3 linked regions of the Macaca fascicularis genome follow. The protein of the gene in region 3 purifies or fractionates together with the protein of the main gene of each other region. This does not show direct contact. Links are inferred from orthologs where the notes say so. Each region holds a gene or a part of one and is shown on either strand. Other genes may lie near its edges.

What was found. Proteins that work in one complex are often made in the same cells at the same time.
Region 1: the proteins of EIF3B (region 3) and EIF3A purify together in Homo sapiens (co-immunoprecipitation; 15 studies listed by BioGRID and IntAct, with this or other methods). This does not show direct contact. The link is inferred for Macaca fascicularis from reciprocal best matches to the Homo sapiens genes EIF3B and EIF3A.
Region 2: the proteins of EIF3B (region 3) and EIF4A1 purify together in Homo sapiens (affinity purification with mass spectrometry; 4 studies listed by BioGRID and IntAct, counting the BioPlex papers as one, with this or other methods). This does not show direct contact. The link is inferred for Macaca fascicularis from reciprocal best matches to the Homo sapiens genes EIF3B and EIF4A1.

What each region holds. Positions count from the first base shown.
Region 1 is NC_088383.1:128,046,548-128,054,794, reverse strand, and holds part of EIF3A (eukaryotic translation initiation factor 3 subunit A), read left to right. Parts: intron 1-3,140; coding exon 3,141-3,229; intron 3,230-4,816; coding exon 4,817-5,625; intron 5,626-8,247. UniProt on the Homo sapiens protein: RNA-binding component of the eukaryotic translation initiation factor 3 (eIF-3) complex, which is required for several steps in the initiation of protein synthesis.
Region 2 is NC_088390.1:7,625,161-7,632,100, reverse strand, and holds the end of EIF4A1 (eukaryotic initiation factor 4A-I), read right to left. Parts: intron 5,983-6,940; coding exon 5,814-5,982; intron 5,698-5,813; exon of another isoform or gene 5,555-5,697; intron 5,452-5,554; coding exon 5,342-5,451; intron 5,156-5,341; coding exon 5,012-5,155; intron 4,931-5,011; coding exon 4,793-4,930; intron 4,683-4,792; coding exon 4,593-4,682; intron 4,538-4,592; exon of another isoform or gene 4,398-4,537; intron 4,329-4,397; coding exon 4,249-4,328; intron 4,153-4,248; coding exon 4,008-4,152; 3' UTR 3,494-4,007; downstream 1-3,493. Other genes in the region: CD68 (macrosialin), read right to left, coding at 980-1,113, 1,427-1,597, 1,710-1,782, 1,906-2,025, 2,163-2,680, 2,761-2,809. UniProt on the Homo sapiens protein: ATP-dependent RNA helicase which is a subunit of the eIF4F complex involved in cap recognition and is required for mRNA binding to ribosome.
Region 3 is NC_088377.1:35,838,042-35,846,804, forward strand, and holds the start of EIF3B (eukaryotic translation initiation factor 3 subunit B), read left to right. Parts: upstream 1-2,951; 5' UTR 2,952-3,019; coding exon 3,020-3,518; intron 3,519-8,763.

The DNA.
Region 1 (8,247 bases), on a different chromosome or scaffold from region 3:
ATAAAATACAACTTTCCTTTGCCTTTCAGAACAAGACAAAATCATGAGCATACCTTGACTTATATTTTATTGCAGTGAACTGGGTATTTTTGTTTCTAGATCATTACATATTATCTTTCCTCTTAGTATTCACTTAAAATTTTATATCCATATTAGCAAACATTATTTAGTCTCAGGTATGTTTACACTGCATCATGTTTTCCCTTTGTGAGTACTTTTTGATTCTTAATCAGTTGTTTTCAGAATGTCTTTGCGTATGCCTCAAGTTTTTTCTCTCACGGTTGAACAATGGATGGTTCATTATTTGGCCAGTTCAAAATCATCTTTTCAGAAATAATAGAGATCTTTGCTTCTCTTTGTAGTACACAGTGTTACAGTGGGGAAGATTTTTGATACTAGTTTTCGTCTTATTCTGTAGATACTCTTTCATTCCTTGGGAACGTAATTTTTCTCCGTACTTGCAGTAAAGGAAGTTAAAACTGTCGCTAAACTGTGTTTAGACACCTGAGTGTTTGGTCATCTTTGTTTCTTTTTGGTCTTTTGGCCTTTTGGTCTAAGGATTCAGTTTCCTTAGAGCAGACAAAAATCTCCTAATTTAAGGAAACTTTTCTCCTTTTTCTCTGTTCTTGCTCTTTCAAAGTCCTCTTTATATCTTTAATGTTTCTTTTACTCTCTTCATCTGTTGTTTGTACCAGGTTCTCTGAGATCCTGGTTCAATTTGTTTGCTCATCAGCTGGGACCATTCTGCTCTTGGATCTGCTGGGCCGGGCACATTGGTTCACGCCTATAATCTCAGCACTTTGGGAGACCAAGGCAGGTGGGCGGATCACTTGAGCTTGGGAGTTCGAGACCAGTCTGGCAACATAGTGAGACCCTGTCTCCACAAAAAATACAAAAATGAGCTGGCCATGGTGGTGCATGCCCAACTGCTTGGGAGACTGAGGTGGAAGTATGGCTTGAGCCCAGGAGGCAGAGTTATTTCTTTTTGCTTGTTTAATGGCTATAACAGCCATCCTTCAAAAGTCTTTGGCGGTTGTAATAGTTGTACTATACCTCTAAAATCTTGCTTTCTTTGTTGAGTATAAATTGGCAAGGCAGGCATCGGGGGTGGGAGAAACTTGGCCTTCTGGCTGTGTTTGTTCCCTCGATTATGGTGCCCATAAATTCCTTTGACTGTTACGTTTCTATTTGTCTCTCAAAGTGTTTACTTGGGAAAGTCTCTTAGAACAACCCCCACCTTGAGAGACAGCCCAGAATCATTAGCTGTGATGACCTGGGACTAACTTTTTTTCTGGCCATTCTTGTCTTTCACTGCTTCTCATCTCTAGTTGTTATTTTAGACTTTCATTGCCAAGACATTTTTTCAAAAATTCAAATAGAGGGGCAGACGTGGTGGCTCACACCTATAATCTCAGCACTTTGGGAAGCCCAGGCAGGTGGATGAGTTGAGGTCAGGAGTTCGAGACCAGCATGGCCAACATGTTGAAATTCCACCTCTACTAAAAACACAAAAATTAGCTGGGCATGGTGGCAGGCGCTTGTAGTCCTAGCTACCTGGCAGGCTATGGCTCAAGAATCGCTTGAACGTGGGAGGCAGAGGCTGCAGTTAGCTGAGATCATGCCACTGCACTCCAAACCTGGGCAACGGAGTGAGATTCCATCTCAAAAAAAAAAAAAAAAATCAAATAAAGGTTCTTTTATTCACAAATTGTTAGAGGCTGTAGCTTATTCTTAGCTTTGTAGTGTTTTTTTTTTTTTTTTTTTGAGACAGAGCTTCACGCTCTGGTGCAGGCTGGAGTACAGTGGTGCGATGTTGGGTAACTGCAAGTTTTGCCTCCCGGGTTCAAGCAGTTTTCCTGCCTCGCTTCCCAAGTAGCTGGGATTACAGGCGCCCGCCACCATGCCCAGCTAATTATTTTATATTTCTAGTAGAGATAGGGTTTCACCATGTTGGCCAGGCTGGTCTCGAACTCCTGGCCTCAAATGATCCACGCACCCCAGCCTCCTAAAGTGCTGGGATTATAGGCGTGAGCTACCGCTCCTGGCCAGCTTTTAAATATTTATTTTAGTCTTCCCACCCTATCATCAGATCTCTTAAAATATCTTCCAGAGTTCTCACTTGTCTGATAATGGCTTTAGGTTACATTTGTATGACCAGCCACAATATATCAGAGGATATTTATGATTAAAATTGTGCATGCATCGTCCCCTGCAAAGGCTGTACCAGATTTACTTTTCACAGTTCTTAATGTCATCAGGGTACTTTTTTGTTGTTGTTGTTCGTTTGTTTTGTGTTTTTTTTTTGAGATGGAGTCTCTGTTGCCCAGGCTGGAGTGCAGTGGCGCGATCTTGGCTCACTGCAAGCTCCCCCTCTCGGGTTCATGCCATTCTCCTGCCTCAGCGTCCCGAGTAGCTGGGGCTACAGGCGCCTGCCACCACGCCCGGCTCATTTTTTATATTTTTTTAGTAGAGATGGGGTTTCACCGTATTAGCCAGGATGGTCTCAATCTCCTGACCTTGCGATCCGCCCGCCTTGGCCTCCCAAAGTGCTGGGATTACAGGCGTGAGCCACTGCGCCTGGCCCATGCCCGGCTGATGTTTTGTATTTTTAGTAGAGATAGGGTTTCACCGTGTTAGCCAGGATGGTCTTGATCTCCTTACCTCGTGATCCACCTGCCTCGGCCTCCCAAAGTGCTGGGATTACAGGTGTGAGCCCCTGCATCTGACCCATCAGAGTACTTTGAATAGAGAAGTACTTTTAATTTAACCACCGTCATTAGACATTAAATAAAATGTCTCCACCTTTCTTTGCTTAGTAGGCACTGTGATGTCCATTTCAGGGTACGGGGCTTTTTTCACATTCTTCAAAGGGGATTTCTAGTTGAAGGAAATCTGTAGAGGTGTGTGTTCCCAGGTTGCTTTCCAGCGGTGTTTGTAAGGTCACCCACAATATATGAGACTACTAGTTTCCCTGTAGCATCAGTCTGATCTCAGATTAAAAAATAAATAAAATTTTAAAACTTGCTTATTTAAGGGCTTCATATTGTTATAAGTACAAAAAATATTTGAATGGTAATACCAGTAGTTGTAATAGTAAATAGTTACCAATATAATGCCTCTTTTTCACTTTGTCAATGGAGGACTCTCGTTGGGGAGATAGAGATTCAGAAGGCACCTGGAGAAAAGGACCTGAAGCAGATTCTGAGTGGAGAAGAGGCCCGCCAGAGAAGTAAGTAGAGTTGAGGAAAATAATGCTGCTCCAGTTCCTCAGTTCCTGTTAATATCTTTTTTCTTTTCTTTTCTTTTTGAAACGGAGTCTCGCTCTGTTGCCCAGGCTGGAGTGCAGTGGTACAGTCTCGGCTCACTGCAAGCTGTGCCTCCCGGGTTCACCATTCTCCCGCCTCAGCCTCCTGAATAGCTGGGACTGTAGGTGCCTGCCACCACGCCCAGCTAATTTTTTGTATTTTTAGTAGAGACGGGGTTTCATCATGTTAGCAAGGATGGCCTCGATCTCCTGACCTTGTGATCCGCCTGCCTCGGCCTCCCAGGGTGCTGGGATTACAGGCATGGGCCACCGTGCCCCGCCTCTTGTTAATATTTTATTGGTGATTTTAAAATTTGGTTCATTTTGTAGAGGCAGGGAAAGGAGAGCCATGAAGAATTGTGTGCATGTCTGATTGTGTGTGGGTTTGGTTTTTGTTTTTTTGGGTCTGCTGCCCGGGCTGGGGTGCAGTGGCACGATCTCGGCTCCCTGCATCCTCTGCCTCCTGTGTTCAAGTGCCTCAGCCTCTCGAATAGCTGGGATTACAGGTGTGTGCCACCATACCTGGCTACTTTTTGTATTTTTTAGTAGAGATGGGGTTTTGCCATGTTGCCCAAGCTGGCTTTGACCTCGACCTCAAGTGATCTGCCTGTCTTAGCCTCCCAGATTGCTGGGATTACAGGCTTGAGCCACTGCACTTGGCTTGTTTCTTTCTTTTTTTTTTTGTTGTTGTTGTTTTGAGATGGTGTCTCACTCTGGAGTGCATTGGCGCAATCTCGGCTCACTACAGCCTCAACCTCCCTGGGCTTAGGTGATCGATCCTCCTGCCTCAGCCTCCTGAGTAGCTGGGACCACAGGTGCGCTCCACCATGCCTGGTTAATTTTGTTTGTTTCTTTGTTTTTGAGACAGAATCTTGCTCTGTCACCCAGGCTGGACTGCAGTAGCGGGATCTTGGCTCACTGCCTTTGCCTCCTGGGTTCAAGCAATTCTTGTGCCTCCCAAGTAGCTGGGATTACAGACATGCACCACCACACCTGGCTAATTTTTGCATTTTTAGTAGACCCGAGGTTTCACCATGTTGGCTAGGCTGGTCTTGAACTCCTGACCTCAAGTAATCTGCCTGCCTTGGCCTCCCAAAGTGCTGGGATTATAGATAGGCGTGAGCCACCACGGCTGGTCAGTTTTTATTTTTTTATAGGGATGGGGTTTTGCCATGTTGCCCAGGCTAGTCTCATGCTCCCGGGCTCAAGCAATCCTCCCGCCTTGGCCTTCCAAAGTGCTGGGATTACAGGTGGGAGCGACTGCGCCAAGCCACTTGTCTTACAATTAAGTAGAGATGGGGTTTTGCCATGTTGGCCAGGCTGGTCTTGAACTCCTGACCTCAGGTGATCTGCCTGCCTCTGCCTCCCAAAGTCCTGGGATTAAAGGCGTGAGCCACTGCACCCGGCCCATACTGAAGTTTTAAAAAAGCACGTCAAAAAAAAAAAAAAATCCCCAAAGGATCGTGTGCTTTTTTATTTTATGTATTTTTAATTGTTCTTGTTGCTGTGTAGGGAGTGGAGACGTGGAGAAGGGCGAGATGAGGACAGGTCTCATAGAAGAGATGAAGAGCGGCCCCGGCGTCTGGGGGATGATGAAGATAGAGAGTCCTCTCTTAGACCAGATGATGATCGGGTTCCCCGGCGTGGCATGGATGATGACAGAGGCCCTAGACGTGGTCCTGAGGAAGATCGGTTCTCTCGCCGTGGGGCAGACGATGACCGGCCTTCTTGGCGTAACACAGATGATGACAGGCCTCCCAGACGAATTGCTGATGAAGACAGGGGAAGCTGGCGTCACGCAGATGATGACAGACCACCTAGACGAGGACTGGATGAGGACAGAGGAAGCTGGCGAACAGCAGATGAGGACAGAGGACCAAGACGTGGGATGGATGACGACCGGGGGCCGAGGCGAGGCGGCGCTGATGAAGAGCGATCATCCTGGCGTAATGCTGACGACGACCGGGGTCCCAGGCGAGGGCTGGATGACGACCGGGGTCCCAGGCGAGGGCTGGATGACGACCGGGGTCCCAGGCGAGGGCTGGATGACGACCGGGGTCCCAGGCGAGGGCTGGATGACGACCGGGGTCCCAGGCGAGGCATGGATGATGACCGGGGTCCCAGGCGAGGGTTGGATGATGATCGAGGACCTTGGAGAAATGCCGATGAAGATAGAATTCCCAGGCGTGGTGCAGAGGATGACAGGGGCCCTTGGAGAAACATGGATGATGATCGGCTTTCAAGACGTGCTGATGATGATCGCTTTCCCAGACGGGGTGATGACTCAAGGCCTGGTCCTTGGAGACCATTAGTCAAGCCAGGTAAAAGTCTATTTCCTAGAATATGCTTAAGTGTTCACCTGTCAAAGTGAAGTTCTGATAGATAAATGTCAGGGCTATATTGTTATTTTCCAGATAAACTGGTCTTTTATCTTCAGTATCATTTGCAGTGACTTACCTGTCAAAAGTTTGCCTTCAGAATACTACCATCCAAAACATAAATAACCCAACCCCTCTTTCTTCTTTTGTGATGTGCTCTTTATTTTCCTTCTGCTTCGTTGACTGCTTCTTTCAAGGCTCTTCCTGTACTCATCCCTTCAGTATTGGTGTGTTTTTCAGGTTTTACTGGGAACTAGCCTCCTTTTAAAAATAAATAATTGAAACCAAAATGTACTTTATATATTTATTTCTGCCAAATGAGAGATATGCACGGAGGAACTCACTTTACTTTTTTTGAGACAGGGTCTTGCTCTGTTGCACAGGTTGGTGTGCAGTGGTGCAATCATGGCTCATTGCAACCTTGACCTCCCTGACTCTAGGGAGCCTCCCGCCTCAGCCTTCTGAGTGGCTAGGACTACAGGCGCATGCCACCACACCCTGCTAATATTTTATTTTTTTTGGAGAGACAGGGTTTTGCCATGTTGCCCAGGCTGGTCTCAAACTCCTGGGCTCAATTATCCTTTTGCCTCTCCCTCGCAAAGTGAAGTGCTAGGATTACAGGTGTGAGGCACTGCGCCCAGCCTCGTTTTCTTTCTTAGTCCTGGGCCTGCTTGTTGTTTAACACTTTATTATTTGTGAGCAGTTGTATACATGTCTGTGACACACATCTATTACCATTTTCTTTCTTTCTTTCTTTTTTTTTTTTTTTTGAGATGTCTTCCAGACTGGACTGCAGTTGTGCGATCTCAGCTCACTGCAACCTCTGCCTCCTGGGTTCAAGCAATTCTCCTGCTTCAGCTTCCCAAGTAGCTGGGACTACAGACACATGCCACCATACATGGCTAATTTTTTTTTTTTTTTTTTGAGATGGAGTCTCACTCTGTCACCCAGGCTGGAGTGCAGTGGCGTGATCTCGGCTCACTGCAAGGTCCGCCTCCCAGGTTCATGCTATTTTCCTGCCTCAGCCTCCTGAGTAGCTGGGATTACAGGCACCCGTCACCACGCCTGGCTAATTTTTTGTATTTTTAGTAGAGACGGGGTTTCACCTTGGTAGCCAGGTTGCTCTTGAACTCCTGACCTCAAGTGATCCACCCATCTTGGCCTCCCAAAGTGCTGGGATTACAGCGTGAGCCACTGCCCCGGCCAATTTTCTCTAGGTAATTTCTGCGTACTGCACACAGGTGACAGCTGCTTACTGCATATAGCGCATTTCCACTTGGTAGTCTTACTGAATGTCAAACACAGCCTATCCAAAACTGGACTCATCACCATCACATACAGAGGTTGTAGTGATCTGAGATCACGCCACTGCACTCCCATCCTGGGAGACAGAGTGAGACCCCGCCTCAAAAAAAGAAAAACAAATGCTGTTTAGTGGCCCCAAGCACACGGTGGCTAAGGAGAAAATACATGTATTTAGATAAGCTTTGTTCATGAATGAGTTACAATGCTGTTGACCATGAATTCATGAACACCCATCCCTCTGATTCTCTTCAGGGGCATCACTGTCCATCTAACTGTCTGAGCTACGAATCTGGGAGTTGTTTTGTCTCTTTCATCTTTTGTGTTAAATGTTTGTTTAGTTCAGTTTGGCCTTTTTGATGTTCCTGAAATCCACCTTCTTCTCCATTCCCATTGCTTGTACTTGGTCCTGGCTCAGCATCGTTTTCCTCACCCCCTAACTGGTTTTTGCTTCCTCTCTTACTCCCAGTTTTAATTTTGGGTGTGGGGGAAATAACTAGAGCAGTTGTTCTAAGTGCAGATCTAAGTGAGCTGCTTCCTTGCTTTCCCCAGTTGTTTCTGTTGCCTACTTCATCTCTTTTAGTCTCACTCCATTCCACTGTTCAGCTGTTACCTTGTGTAAGCCATTTAATTTTTCTTTGCCTCATGTTAAATGGGGTAACAGTGTAGCAGATTCTTACTGATTTGCTAATTATATTTTATAAAGTTGCCATGAATACTGAACTCCTGTTCCTAGGGGAAATACAAGGTTAGGTTCTTGTGAGCTTGTAGTCATGATATTTTTGTCAACTAGTCAATACATAAAATGTCTTTTATGTGTTTGTGTTTAAAGACCCGTATTTCTGATATGTTGTTGACTCATTACCATTGAATTCATGGTCAACAGCATTGTAACTCATTCATGAACAAAGCTTATCTAATACATGTATTTTGTCCTTAGCCACCTTGTGCTTGGGGCCACTAAACAGCATTTGTTTTTTCTTTTTTTGAGGCGGGGTCTCACTCTGTCTCCCAGGCTGGAGTGCAGTGGTGTGATCTGAGATCACCGCAACCTCTGCCTCCTGGGCTCAAGAGATCCTACCACATCAGCTTCCTGAGTAGCTGACTATAGGTGCACACCACCAAGCCCAGCTAATTTTTGTATTTTTTGTAGAGATGTGGTTTTGCCATGTTGCCCAGGCTGGTCTTGAACTCCTGGGCTCCAGGGATCCACCTCCTCGGCCTCCCAAATTCCTGAGATTACAGGCATGAGCCACCACGCCT
Region 2 (6,940 bases), on a different chromosome or scaffold from region 3:
CTCTTCTGCTGGCCCTAAATACGGTGGACAGGACAGGACATTCTCATTGCTCAGGAGCCACTGGCGCTGCCTTTGGGAATGAAATTCCACAGCCTCGCACTCCTGGCTTTGTCTGTCTGCTGCATCTGAAACTGTAGGAGGGTCAGGAGGAAGGCTGCAGGGGCGAATGGCTCTACCGGCTTGCCAGCGATGGGGTACTGGAGCAGCCAGTGGCCCCAAGAGGAGGAAGGAAGGGAGGCACGGCAGATCCAACACCAGCTGTGCCAGGCTTTGGGGGGTAAACCCATGAGGCATCGTCACACATTGACATTTTCATCCCTCCTCAGCAGCTGCTTCCGGCTCGCTGAGACCCAGCCATGGAAAGCACAGAAAGGCATGTGACAAGAAACTCATGGCTTTTAATCCTGGCAGGACAAGGAAAACCCCAAGTCAAACATACGCATATATTTTGCTACTCTCCTCTTGGGGGGACAGTTCGTCACATTTAATAAAACTCTGTCCCCTCCCTCCTCCCAACTGCATTATCTCTTATTTATTTATTTGAGACAGTCTGGCTCTGTCGTCCAGTCTGGAGTGCAGTGGTGCGATCTTGGCTCAGTGGCACGATGTCGGCTCACTGCAACCTCCACCTCCTGGGTTCAGGCAATTCTGCCTCAGCCTCCCAAGGAGTTGGGATTACAGGCCAGCTGGGATTATGCCACCACACCCGGCTAATTTTTTGTATTTTTAGTAGAGATGGGGTTTTACCATGTTGGCCAGGCTGGTCTTTAAACTCCTGACCTCCAGTGATCTGCCTGCCTCAGCCTCCCAAAGTGCTGGGATTACAGGCATGAGCCATCGCGCCTGGCTCTATTTTAGTTCTTCAAGAAAGGGAAGGAAAATAACTTTGTCTTTGAGACAGTTGCATGTCAAGGAAATAAGGGACCCCCCCCCCACCACACCCCAACCCCCTCAGTGCCCTGGGGTTTGAAGCAAATGCTCAGAGGGCCTGGTAGGCGGATGGGCGTCTCCGGACGATGCAGAAGGCAATAAGCACCAGGGCAAGGAGGCCAAGAAGAACCAGGCCGATGATGAGAGGCAGCAAGATGGACCGGTCACTGGGGCAGGAGAAACCTGGCGGAAGGATAGGGCAGGTAGGTATTACAGTGACATGGTGGTTGGGATGAAGGTGGGAGGAGGGAATGGGGGGATGCTAGGGAGTAGGAGATTGGTGAGGAGCTCACTGCAGTGACTCAGCAGTGACCAAAGGGGGAAACTGGCAGAATCTTGTAGAGGATGGGAGGACAGCTGCCCTATAGCCATGACAAGCTGGGAGAGGGAGGAGATTTGGGGGGTTAAGAAGAGAGATGAGTGGCTTATGGGCCTGGGGAAGGGGTTTTCAGTGTAGTGGGAGGATTCTAGGAGGGAAGGAGTAGGTAGGTCTTACTTTGCCCAAAGACCCCTGTGTGGGGCAGCTGAGCAGCCTGGAGCCTCAGGGAGAGCAGGTCGAGGTGGACAGCTGGTGAAAGAATGATGCTCGAGTTGCTGCAACTGAAGCTCTGGCCCAGGGGTGCTTGGAGATCTCGAAGGGATGCATTCTGAGCCGAGAATGTCCACTCTGGAGGAGTGAGGAAGGGTTAGATCCTGTCCACCTCCCTGGCCCCAGCTTAGTCCTTTCAGGAACCCTGGTGTCTAGTGGTAGCAATGAGAAAGGGAGGGAGGTTACTTACGTGCTGCGTGGGGGAAAGACACATTGTACTCCACCGCCATGTAGCTCAGGTAGACAACCCTCTGCTGGAGGTCCTGTGGGGCAAACAGGAAAGCAGGTGGCATCCCTCTTCACAGAGGAAGGGGTAGGGTGCAGGATTGGGAGGGGTGGGGCGCCGGGAGGCTGAGTGAGGGGTGAGACTGAGGTCATGGCTATACCTGCATGAATCCAAAGCTGAGGTGTCCATAGGGGAATGAGAGAAGCAGGTGGGGATGGGCACCCTCACAGCTCCCCTGGACCTTGGTTTTGTTGGGGTTCAGTACAGAGATGCCCCAGGCCTGCGGAAGTTAAAGATCAGAAGGTCACAAGATTGCATGCGATGCCAGCCAATATTCCCCGTCCTGTCTTCCTTCTTCCCTCTGAGCCTATAGCCAGTCCTGCCTCCCTCCCCTCTCGTACCCATTTTTAGCTTTACCTCTCCTCCACCCTGGGTTGTGTACATGACTCGAATCTGAATCTGGGCTTGGAGGTGGACACAGGGCTGGGAACCATTGGTCCACATGTAGTCTCCAATGGTCTCCTTGGAGGCCGGGCTAGGACTCGGAGAGGGCGGAGGTGGTCCTGGGTGGGCAGAACTGGTGAGTCCTGGGCTGGTGGCAGTGCTGTTGCTTGTTGGATGAACTGTGGCATTTCCATGACTAGTGGTGGCAGGCCTGTGAGTGGCAGTTGAGGGTCCCTGGCTGGTGGCAGTGCTGTTGCTTGTTGGATGAACCGTGGCGTTTCTGTGGCTGGTGGTGGTGGGGTTGTGCGTGGCAGTTGTGGGTCTGTGGCTGGTGGTGCCTGTGGTGGTTGTCCTGTGAGTGGTGGTTTTGTGGCTCTTGGTAGTCCTGTGGCTGGTTGTTCCAGTGCTCTCCGTAGCCGTGGGTGTCACCGTGAAGGATGGCAGCAGAGTGGCCGATTTTTTGTGAGGACAGTCATTCCCTGTCCCCTGGGCTTTTGGCAGAGAGGAGATGGTTAGCCACCCAGGGGCAGGCTCCCTCCCAGGGGCCCCTTCCCCTCAGCCTCCTCCTTACCTGCGAGTAGCCCCAGCAGGGCCCCCAAGAAAAGCACAGCCAGCCTCATGGCTGAACTACCTCACCCCGAGTCCAGCGAGGCTGTCTGCACCAGTTGCTCAGCTCTACTCCCTCAGCCCTCTCTTGGAAAGGAGGAAATGAAAGTCTCACTTCCTGTACTGGAGATGATCCCACCCACAGCCTGACTCAGGGGCCTCAGCTCTAGCCATCTCTCTCTTAGTCATTAGTTTTTGTAATTAAGGTAGGGCACTGTTGGCCCCTGCTTCATCAGGGCAAAGTCAACAGGGTCACATGGGTACATGAAAGGGAGTCCTAGGGCAGTTGATCCATAGGGATCCATGTGTGAAACTCAGCAAAACTTGCTTGGCAGTTGTGGCAGGTGGCTATGGGAACAGCTGAGACCCAGGCCCCTCCCTCAGTGGTAGGGAAATCAGTGTCTCCACTCCCCTTTCCCCTGGACCTCGGGGCTGACCCCTGTACTTCCTCTTGGCTGAGGCACGTGAGGGGCTTGTGATCATCCACACCCAGCCTTTTACAGAGGGGCAGCACTACCAGTCAGCATCACCGTTCTCAGAGCCGAGAACATGGCTTTCCAGTGTCTGGGAACTCTTAGATGGTGACAAGAAAGCAACACAGCCCAAAGGTAACTATCTGCTGGCGAAGGGGGGAGCAGAGATGCACCCAGTAGCAGGTGGGAGAGGGAAGGGGAGTTAAGAAATGAGAAGCCCAAACAGGCAGTTTCCAAGTCATTTTATTCAGAATTTTGTGTTTGTTTCCTGAATCAATAAATACTATACAAAACAATGTAAAAATGGCTACCATTTTCTCTCCCCTGCTTCCCCCCACCTGGGGACAACCCCCTGGGCAACCTCACTCAGGGGTTTTAGGGGTTCTCCCTCCAGATTTGGTCCAGCAAATGAGGCTGAGTGACGTAGTCCCCTGAATCACTTTCAAAGGAGCTCAGCTGAGGTGAGGAGAGCCTCTGGGATCTGGAGGTTACTAGGTTAGGGAAATGGATTAGTGTTTTTTTGGGAGAAGAGCCGGCGCCTGGGGCAAGAGCCTACCCCAAAGAAAAGGGTGTCTAAAATGTTCACGGTTCCTTCTTTTTTTGCCTCAAAAAGTGACATTTATTCAAAGAAAAAAAATGACAAGATGTCCATCCCTTGGCTCCCTTCCCTCCCCCCTCCTGCTGCTCCTCAGCCCCCCAAGATTGAGCCCTGGCTGGGGCTGGGTGGCAGGACAACCCCTCAGATGAGGTCGGCAACATTGAGGGGCATTTCCTCAATGGAGGTGTTATAGAAGGTCTCGATGTCTCGAAGAGTCCTCTTGTCTTCTTCTGTCACCATGTTAATAGCCACACCTTTACGGCCAAACCGTCCACCTCGACCGATTCTGGAAAACAAGGAAAGGGATGAGGAACATCAGGAACTTTAGCCCAGGGAGGGCCAGGCGTGAGGGGGTGGAAGAGTGTTCCAGATCTACTCTTACCTGTGGATATAGTTTTCCCTGTTGGTGGGAAGGTCATAGTTGATGACTAAAGAAACCTGCTGCACATCAATGCCTCTGGCCTACATCAAGAAAGACAACTCTTCAGCATGTGCATGAGAGAACACTATCCCGAAGAGACACTTAGGCATCCATGTAGGCAGCCAAGGAAGGCGGAGGAAATAAGCATCCCTGTTCCCCAAAGGCCTTAGGCATGCCAGATTCTATTCCAAGCTGCTACTTTCCTGAGAGGGGCACTGGATGTCCCCTTGGAGAGGGAATCACCTTGGATCAGGAATCACCTTGGATCCTCCCTTCTGCCTTTCCTGTCAATTCCCTCTACTCACCAGCAGGTCAGTGGTAATCAAAACTCTGCTAGAGCCAGAACGAAACTCCCTCATGATCACGTCTCGTTCCTTTTGGTCCATATCTCCATGCTAGAAGAGAAAACAAACCAGGTAGGCACATAGGTTCCGGGAACCCTGGCTTCAAAGTAGGACACTTCTGATCGGCAGACCCACAAGGGGCTGGCAGCAGGCAAACACACCATGGCAGAGACAGTGAAATCTCGAGCATGCATCTTCTCGGTGAGCCAGTCCACCTTCCTCCGGGTGTTGATGAAGATGACTGCCTGGGTGATGGTCAGCGTTTCATACAAGTCACATAGTGTGTCCAGCTTCCACTCCTGCAGGTGAGGGGACAAAAATCAGTCAGGGGCTATACCCAACAACTCACTACCAGGCCCGCCTCCTGCACTGGGCCCCACCTCTCGTTCCACGTTGATGTAGAATTGGCGGATACCCTCCAGGGTCAACTCTTCCTTCTTGACAAGAATCCGAATGGGGTCCCTCATGAACTTCTTGGTCACCTCAAGCACATCAGAAGGCATTGTAGCTGACAGCAAAACTACCTAGTGGAAAAAAAGGCCAGCCTTAGAGCAGTGGATCCTTCCCAAGGTCTGCTCCCTTCCCTAGCCACACCTAAAACTGAAGTGGATGCATAAAAAGGCTCAGGACAAGAATCCAGAGTTTGGTTCCCCTGGCACTTAATATTTTTCTTCCAGAATCATTAACGATTCAAGCAAGGCCGCCCTCACCTGGGTGTTGCTGTTGAGCTTTTGGAATATGTCATAGATCTGGTCCTTGAATCCACGGCTTAACATTTCGTCAGCTTCGTCCAGTACAAACATCTTGATGTATTTGGGAGCTAGAGAAGGAAAAAAAAGCCAATATATAGCATATAATCAGGGAAATGTAGGAGAGATGTATCCAACTTTGTTGATAAAAAACAGAGAGGGGCCGAGTAGTCTGCTCTCAGAGTACAAAGACTGATCCTTTGCCCAGGACGTTCCCGCCAAGCCAGAAAACAGCCCTGGGAAGTAGGACACTGCCTGGGCTGCACTGGCAGGGAAGCCAGAGGCTCAGATGACACGCATGGGCTCCATCACAGAGCAGCTCTTCCCCAGAGGGAAACCAGCATCTGTGGGAATGACTTTGGCTTACACTGAAAGACTGGAAAGCATGCACAAGAGCGAAGTGACCCAGGGGTTGGAGAACAGAATTACTCACACAGGTATCTCCGGTTAAGCATATCAAACACTCGGCCAGGGGTCCCCACGATTATGTGGGGGGCTTCCATCTGCAGTTTCTGCACCTCAGCACGCACGTTGGTGCCCCCAATACAGGCATGACAGGAGGCACCCATGTAGTCTCCTAGTGCCATGACCACCTTCTGTATCTGAGCACAGAGAAAGATAGGTGCTCACATATTAGCTACAGCTGTGCCAGGCACCATTCCTTTTTTTTTTTTTTTTTTTTTTTTTTGAGGCGGAGTCTTCACTCTGTCGCCCAGGCTGGAGTGCAGTGGCACCATCTCGGCTCACTGCAAGCTCCGCCTCCCAGGTTCGCGCCATTCTCCTGCCTCAGCCTCCCGAGTAGCTGGGACTACAGGCGCCCGCCACCACGCCCGGCTAATTTTTTGTATTTTAGTAGAGACGGGGTTTCACCGTGTTAGCCAGGATGGTCTCGATCTCCTGACCTCGTGATCCGTCCGCCTCGGCCTCCCAAAGTGCAGGGATTACAGGCGTGAGCCACCGCGCCCGGCCGGCACCATTCTTAAATGTTTTTCATGTATTTATTCCTAACCAACAACTTTGGGGCATGCACTATTATTACACTCACATTCAGCTGAGAAACAGGCAGAGGCTAAAATCCACTTAAGATCGTGCTGTCAATAGGTGGCAAAGACAGGATTTCAACTCAGTCTGGTTCCTGAGTGTACAGTGATTCACAGTAAGGCCGCTCAGATAATTAATTCAGTTTCTTACTCTAGATGTTTAGAACCCGTAACTTTCTGAAAGCTAATTTGACCAACTGCCTCGTCATGCAGCAACCAGTTTTGTTTTGTTTTTTTTGAAACAGAGCTTTGCTCATCGCCCAGGCTGGAGTGCAATGGCACAATCTCGGCTCACTGCAGCCTCCGCCTCCTGGGTTAAATTCTCCTGCCTGAGCCTCCCCCAAGTAGCTGGGATAACAGGCACATGCCACTACGCCCAACTAGTTTTTATATTTCTAGTAGAGATGGGGTTTCACTATGTTGGCCAGGCTGGTCTCCAACTCCTGATCTCAAGTGGTCTGCCTGCCTCAGCCTCCCAAAGTGTTGGGATTACACAAGTGAGCCACCGCGCCCGGCCAGC
Region 3 (8,763 bases):
CAAGCCAAAATCATCTGTTGCCAAGCCAAAATCATCTGCTTTCAAGCTCTTTGGTTAGTATTTGCTTTTTGTTCATTGACTTGCTACCTTTCAGCATTTTCTAGAAGAAAAGGGTTGGCAGAGCCTGATGATCTAAGGGAAGCTGCAGAGGAAACTAGAAATTGGAAGGATAATTTGGTCGGGAGGTGAAACCAAGTTTTCCTTTGTGGAACTGTTCCACCAGCCACACACTAAAATGTGTCATCTGGCCACCTGGCTGGGTGTGGTGGCTCACGCCTGAAATCCCAGCACTTTGGGAGGCTGAAGTGGGAGGGTCACTTGAGCCCAGGAGTTCAAGACCAATCCAGGAACCATAGTGAGACTCCATCTCTGTTTAAAAAATTTGCTAGCCGGGCGCGGTGGCTCAAGCCTGTAATCCCAGCACTTTGGGAGGCCAAGATGGGTGGACCACGAGGTCAGGAGATCGAGACCATCCTGGCTAACACGGTGAAACTCCGTCTCTACTAAAAAAATACAAAAAACTAGCCAGGTGAGGTGGCGGGCGCCTGTAGTCCCAGCTACTCGGGAGGCTGAGGCAGGAGAATGGCGTGAACCTGGGAGGCGGAGCTTGCAGTGAGCTGAGATCCGGCCACTGCACTCCAGCCTGGGTGACAGAGCCAGACTCCTTCTCAAAAAAAAAAAAAAAAAGCAAAAAATTTGCTGGCCAGGCGCGGTGGCTCAAGCCTGTAATCCCAGCACTTTGGGAGGCCGAGGCGGGCGGATCACAAGGTCAGAAGATCAAGACCATCCTGGCTAACATGGGAAACTCCGTCTCTACTACAAATACAAAAAATTAGCTGGGGGTGGCGGCAGGCGCCTGTAGTCCCAGCAACTCAGGAGACTGAGGCAGGAGAATGGCATAAACCCGGGAGGCGGAGCTTGCAGTGAGCTGAGATCACGCTACTGCACTCCAGCCTGGGCGACAGAGCAAGACTCCATCTCAAAAAAAAAAAAAATTGTCATCCCTTATTGTACAGATGCGGAAACTGAGGCAGAGGCATTAAGTGACCTGCCCAAAGTTACACCGCTGACAGCACGATGAGGAGTCGTCAAACCTGGTACTAGGCATGGGAAGACTGCTTCTTTTTCGCTCTTTTGAACACCGTTAGGACGAGATGGGTGTGTGGTTCATGCCTGTAGTCCCAGCACTTTGGGAAGCTGAGGCAGGAGGACTGCTTGAGGCCAGGAGTTTGAGACCAGCCTGGGCAACATAGTGAGATGTTACCCACAAATAAAGAAATTAACTGGACGTGGTGGCACATACCTTCAGTCCCAAGTACTTGGGAATGTACTTAATGCCTCTGAACTGTATACTAAACTGCATATTAAAATGGCTAGGCCCTGTGGCGTGGTTCACACTTGTAATCCTGGCTCTTTGGGAGGCTGAGGTGGGAGGATTCTCTTGAGGCTGGGAGATCCGGATTGCAGTGGAGCTGTGATTATGCCACTGCACTCTAACCTGGGCGATAGAGTGAGATCCTGTCTCTGAAAACAAACAACTATATGATGAAATATACATACAAGTTACCTTTTTAGTATTTTATTTTTTCGAGACAGGGTCTCACTATGTTGCCCTGACTGGTCTTGAACTCCTAGGCTCAAGCGATCCTCCTGCCTTGGCCTCCCAAAGTACTGGGAAGACAGGTGTGAGCCACCGCGCGGGGTGTGGCCATTTTAATATGAAGTTTAGTATACAGCTCAGTGGCATCAGGTACATTCACCATGTTGTGCAACCATCACCACCGTCATCTCCAAAACGTTCTCATCCTCCCAAACTGAAGGTCCGTTCCCGATAAACACTCCCCACTCTCCTCCCCAGCCTCTGGGTACCACTTGTTTTACTTATTTATTTACTTATTTATTTATTTTTGGTATACATGAGGGTTGGCGGGGGTGGGGGTGCTATGTTGGCAAGGCTGGTCTCGAAATCCTTAGCTCAAGCGATCCCCCCCGCCTCAGCCTCCCAAAGTTTTGGGATAACTGGCGTGATCCACTGGGTTATTTTCTAGTGGTTGTCCTCCACTCCGGCAAAAAACAAAGAGAAGACACAAGCACCCAATACCCGTCCCGTGAACAGCAGCCCAGAGCCAACCGCTCCGGAGAGGCTCGCGCCCCACGCGGCGAGAACCCGCCCCCGCCCGCACGTGACCCGCGGTCTCCCGCGCGGAGGGCGGTGGCCTCGCGTGGACCGAAACACTGTGAACGCCCGAATGGGGGGAAACAGGCGGTGACGGCCGCTAGGGAAGGACTGGGGGTAAGCGATTAAAGCAACTCGCATACATTTTTGCATTGCGCCAGGGAGTCGTCTTTCTAGTCGTGCGGGCCGCCTCTGGCTCGCCCCGAATCCCTGTTCTCCTTTTTGGAGTAGTCTGTCCTTTTGCGCAGTCAGTAGGCGAGTCCAAGTGTCAGACACCGACAGGGGGGTCTTTAGTAACGTAAGCTAAACAGTTTGCCTAGCGAAAGGCTGAGACGCCCTGAGCAATCGCCTGTCGAGCCTCCACTCTTCCATGATAATAACTGTTGAGTTAGAGGACATTTTCAACCCATTCTGGATACTAAAATCATTTCTGGTCCCCGCCTCGGGCGCCACAAATAGTTCAGCCCCGCCTCGCAGCGTCCGACGGGAGAGGAAAGGGGAGGCCGCCATGTTGGACAGAACCATCCGCTGCCATACATGGGGTGGCCAATGCGCCCATGAATTTAGTGATGGACGGAAACAACCTTGTTGAATGGAATTGAGCACTTTCTTGTCACAAGAATGTCAGTTTGGTGATTTGCTGGACGCGGCTTGCGGATGCGAGTCCTCTCAGGGTCGTCGTGAGGCTCCAGGGCGTGGGTACACCCCCCGCCCCGCGGCCTTGGTACGGCCTCCCCGTCGCACGCACATGGCTGAGCTGTAGCCGGCGCGGCGCGCGGTGCGGCCTGGGAGAGTCGGAAGCGCGGCGGCCGCGGAGCCCTGCGAGTAGGTAGTGTCGGGCCCATGCAGGACGCAGAGAACGTGGCGGTGCCCGAGGCGGCCGAAGAGCGTGCCGAGCCCGGCCAGCAGCAACCGGCCGCCGAGCCGCCGCCAGACGAGGGGCTGCTGCGGCCCGCGGGGCCCGGCGCTCCGGAGGCGGCAGGGACAGAGGCCTCTAGTGAGGAGGTGGCGGTCGCGGAGGCCGGGCCGGAGCCGGAGGTGAGGACCGAGCCGGCCGCCGAGGCAGAGGCGGCCTCCGGCCCGTCCGAGTCGCTCTCGCCTCCGGCAGCCGAGGAACCTCCTGGGTCGCACGCTGAGCCCCCTGTCCCGGCACAGGGCGAGGCCCCGGGAGAGCGGGCTCGGGACGAGTGCGCCGACAGCCGGGCCCAGGCGGCGTCCGAGGACGCGGGAGGAAACGAGGGCAGCGCGGCCGAGGCCGAGCCCCGGGCGCTGGAGAACGGCGACGCGGACGAGCCCTCCTTCAGCGACCCCGAGGACTTCGTGGACGACGTGAGCGAGGAAGGTGAGGGCGCCCGGGGCAGGGCTGGCGAGCGGCGCGGGAGCGTGACTGGGGTTCCGGAGGTGGGAGATGTCGTCGGGCTGTGCCACTGGTTCGTGCAGAAGTTCCAGCGAGGGTGTCCGTGTGTTCCTGGAAAGCCACCGAGGGAGGGGTTCCCGAGTGCCCTAGAAACGTTCTGAGACCCCAGCGCCTCCCCTTTTCTTTCCTAAAAAAGGGGACAGGATGGAGCTAACTTCGTGAGCCAGGGATTTGCATGACAACCAGAAATCTGAGAGGGTGGGAGAGGGCACAGGGGTACTCTGTTCTGGCTGGGTGTGCTGTGAGTGTAGCAGCTGGGGTTACAGCAAAAACCGAAGACCCGGTGTCAGGTTTGCGGGTCTGCGTGTCCCAGCTGACCAGTCAGACCTCCCGAGGTCTGGATCGGAGGAACAGGTTGTCGCAGAGCCGGTGATTTTGTCCTCCTGCCCCGCACAATTGTCCATCTCCAGGAGACTTCCCTAGTGGTACAGGCAGACCCTGTCAAATTCCAGTTTGGTTCTCCTTTATCCCCTCTGCTAAACCTGTAAGACGAGTTATTTTTCCAGGTTTTAATATTGTTGATAACAGCCTGCTTTGCCTTCGTCTCAACCTTGATTGGATTTACAGGCATATTTCTGCTTCCGCCTCAGAGAGCTCTTTTCCTAAAGTGACTTCTGATGAGAGCTGGTCTCATTTGTTTTTCTTTTGTTTTTAGCTCTCTTAAGCCTTTAAGTTGAGAAACACATCAGCCTCTGCGGATTGGCTAAGTTAATACTGGAGTGAGAAAAATAAAAATACCCTTGCTGACGCAGCCAGATATACACCAAGACAATTTAGGGAATAACGTGGAGTTGCCAACTTATAATTGAAACGTATTTTTAAAAGGCTATCAGAAATACAAAAATCAGCCAGGTGTGGTGGTGCACACCTGTAGTCTCCGGTACTTGGGAGGCTGAGGCACGAGAATAGCCTGAACCCAGGAGTGGAGGTTGCAGTGAGCCAAGATCCCACTGCTGCACTCCAGCCTGGGTGACAGAGTGAGACCCTGTCTCAAAAAGTGAAAAATTAAAAAATAAAAAGGCTGTCAGTTACTGTGGCCATTATTATATTACACTTTTTTTTTTCATAGAAGACATTTTAGCAAGAAAAGCAGGAAGAACACCACAAACTAATGAAGACTTTGGGAACATCTAGTCTGCGCCCCTCAGTCCTGAGGAAATGTGTCCCTGAAGGTGGAGTAGGCTGCTGAGAATTCGCAGTGGGTTCGCTCTGCGTGGCTCACCAGACTCTCCTGCTCAGAACAGTGTTCTTTCTTTTTTTTTTTTTGAGACGGAGTCTCGCCCTGTCTCCCAGGAGTCTCACCCTGTCTCCTAGGCTGGAGTGCAGTGGCGCGATCTCGGCTCACTGCAAGCTCCGCCTCCTGGGTTCACGCCATTCTCCTGCCTCAGCCTCCCCAGTAGCTGGGACTACAGGCACCCGCCACCGCGCCCGGCTAATTTTTTGTGTTTTTAGTAGAGACGGGGTTTCACCGTGGTCTCGATCTCCTGACTTTGTGATCGGCCCACCTCGTCCTCCCAAAGTGCTGGGATTACAGGCGTGAGCCACCGCGCCCGGCAGAACAGTGTTCTTTCTAACACTTCAGTAGTTGTTATAGTTTAAAATCAAAATTTTTGGTTTAATGATTATTTTGAGCCCTTGGAAATTCTGCTATTTTTTTAAAAGTATTATTTGAGCCCATCGAATTCAGATTTCTAATGTGTAAATTATTTCTGGAATTGGGAAGAGTTAGTGGATGCTAATATGACCACAAGGTTGGCCAGGCTGGGTGATGACTGTGGGTCCTCAGGGGTCCCACGTGGCCCTGAAGGTGCAGTGTTGGCCAGAGTGACAGGTGAGGCATCTGGTCCTGAGGACTAAGGCTCAGCAAGCAGGCTTTGTCCTGGCCTGCCTGGTTGTGGTAACGCAGGTGGGTTGTGTGCGTTATGACAAGAGCTGCCCTTCAGGGTCAGTGTGCAAGATAGTATATGAGTGTGTCAGTTCTTTCCAAAAGGGCCGAGTCTTCCAGATAGTATATGAGTGTATCAGTTCTTTCCAAAAGGGCCGAGTCTTCCAGATAGTATAGTGTATCAGTTCTTTCCAAAAGGGCCGAGTCTTCCAGATAGTATATGAGTGTATCAGTTCTTTCCAAAAGGGCCGAGTCTTCCAAGGAGCAGACCAAAGGTGGCCTGGAGTCCCTGTCTTGCCTTCTTATTTTTTGGGTGCAGATTAGCATCTCAAACTGTAATCATCCTTTCAGTTTAATGTTTCAGCTGATCAGGATTTTAACTCTAAATGTCTTTTTTGCATTATTAACTATTCTTTTTGTTTGCTATTTAGTGTTGAGGATTGTTCTCTTCTTTTTTTTCCTGGAGACAGGTTGGGAATCTGTGAGCCACGTGTCACCGATGCTTGGGCCGAGAGTGATGAAGGCGATGTGTCTTCATGGTGTAGTTACTTCATTTGTTTCCTTCCTAGGTGTGGGCTGGTTCTCCTAGACTAGACGCTTTGAGCTTGTGGGAAGGAGTACGCAGTTTGTGTAAAAGCTAAGCTTTTTATTGCAAGCCTTATAAATTCAGATCAGGCTTGTCAGGCCATTTAATTGTATGGTAAGTGCTTTAGAAGGTATCCTGGGATTTGACTAGTTTCCACAGCAGGGTGTCCGGCACTGCAGTGACTGGCAACTGCCTTTTTCCCTTTTTTTTTTTTTTTTTTTTTTTTTTTTTTAACATCTCGTTCCTCTCAATTTTAGCATCTTTGAAAATAAAATGGAGATTATTTTTTAGGGTAGTATTTTCAATATTTCCTTTTTTTTTTTTTTTTGAGATGGAGTCTCACTCTGTTGCCCTGGCTGGGGTACAGTGGCTCACCGCAGCCTCTGCCTCCCCAGTTCAAGCGATTTTCCTGCGTCAACCTCCTGAACAGCTAGGATTATAGGCACCCATCACCACTCCTGGCTAATTTTTGTATTTTTAGTAGGGACGGGGTTTCACCATGTTGGCCAGGCTGGTCTCGAACTCCTGGCCTCAAGTGATTTGCCTTCCTCAGCTTCCCAAAGTGCTGGGATTAGAGGCGTGAGCCACCATGCCTGGTAAATTTTCAATATTTCTGAAAGGTTTTTTTTTTGTGTTTTTTTTTTTGAGACGGAGTCTTGCTCTGTCACCCAGGCTGGAGTGAGCCACCATGCCCGGCCAACTTTTGAGAATAAATAAAGCGAAGAATATTTTCTGACATCTGCATATTTAGTATGTTGAAATTACTATTATTTTGGCCGGGCGCGGTGGCTCAAGCCTGTAATCCCAGCACTTTGGGAGGCCGAGACGGGCGGATCACGAGGTCAGGAGATCGAGACCATCCTGGCTAACACGGTGAAACCCCGTCTCTACTAAAAAATACAAAAAACTAGCCGGGCGAGGTGGCGGGTGCCTGTAGTCCCAGCTACTCGGGAGGCTGAGGCAGGAGAATGGCGGGAACCCGGGAGGCGGAGCTTGCAGTGAGCTGAGATCCGGCCACTGCACTCCAGCCTGGGCGGCAGAGCAAGACTCCGTCTCAAAAAAAAAAAAAAAAAAAAAAAAAAAAAAAAAAAGAAATTACTATTATTTTTAGAGATGGAATCTCACTCTGTTGCCCAGGCTGGAGTGCGGTGGTGCAATCTTGGCTCACTGCAGCCTCCATCTCCTGAGTTCAAGCAATTCTCCTGCCTCAGCCTCTCAACTAGCTGGAATTACAGGCGCCCACCACCATGCTTGGATCTTTTTTTTTTGTTTTTTTTTTTGAGACGGAGTCTCACTCTGTCGCCCAGGCTGGAGTGCAGTGGCCGGATCTCAGCTCACTGCAAGCTCCGCCTCCCGGGTTTACGCCATTCTCCTGCCTCAGCCTCCCGAGTAGCTGGGACTACAGGCGCCGCCACCTCGCCCGCCTAGTTTTTTTTTGTGTTTTTTTAGTAGAGACAGAGTTTCACCGTGTTAGCCAGGATGGTCTCCATCTCCTGACCTCGTGATCCACCCGTCTCGGCCTCCCAAAGTGCTGGGATTACAGGCTTGAGCCACCACGCCCGGCCTTTTTTTTGTATTTTTATTAGGGACAGGGTTTCACCATGTTGGCCAGGCCGGTCTTGAACTCCTGGCCTCAGTAATCTGCCTGCCTTGGCCTCCCAAAATGCTGGGATTACAGGTGTGAGCCACTGAGCTTGGCCCTGTCCTGAATTCTGACTATGTGATGCTTTCCAAAAGCCCTGCGAGGCATTTCATCACATTGAGGACAGCTTCACGTACCACTAAGAAAAAAATACTGTTACTTAAACTCTGTGGGCATGGCAGCTCCCACCTGTAGTCCCTCCTACTTGGGAGGCTGAGGCAGGAGGGTTGCTAGAGCCCAGGAGTTCAAGGCTAGCCTGGGGAGCATAACAAGACCCTGTCTCTTAAAAAAAAAAAAAAAAAAAAAAAAAAAAGCTGTTTCAGGAACTTGTATATTCTCCAGTCTCCTAGTTTAAGTGCAGGTCTCTGCCCTGATAGTGTTTTTCTAAAAGGCTCTTTGTGATATAATAAGAAATGTGTATTTGGGCTCTGCCCTGGTTCTTGGCACACAACGTCTAAACACTTGGAATCTCCAAAGTGATAAGTGTCTTTTTGTAGACAAGTGAGATGATTGATGACTGGGGCTCCTTGCCAGGGAACCAACCACGTGATTAGAGGGCGGGAACTTTTAGGGCTCCCCCTGCCCCCCAGAAGGAAGAGGCTGAAAGTTGAGTTGATCACCGGTGCTCAGTGATGTCATTAACTATGCCCATGTAATGAGATCTTCCTAGACACCAAAAAGGACCAGGTTCCGGGGGCTCCACGTGTGGGAACAGGTGGAGGCTCCTGCAGGGTGGTGGCCTGGAGAGCACGGGGAGGCTCTGCACTTCTCCTCCATCTGCCTGTTCGTCTGTATCCTCTGTAACGTCCGTGATAATAAGCTGGCAAACCTAGCTCCCTGAATTCTGTAAGCTGCTGTAGCAAATTAATGGAACCCAAGAAGCGGGGGGTAGTGGGAGCCCTGCTTTGTAGCCTGTTGGTCAGAACTGGAGGTGACAGCCCACTACTTGCGATTGCCATCTGAAACAGGGACCAGTCTTTGGGACTGAGCCTTCAGCCTGTGGGATCTGGTGCTGATTCCCGGTAGATCATGTCTGAATTGGATTAAGTAGAGGACA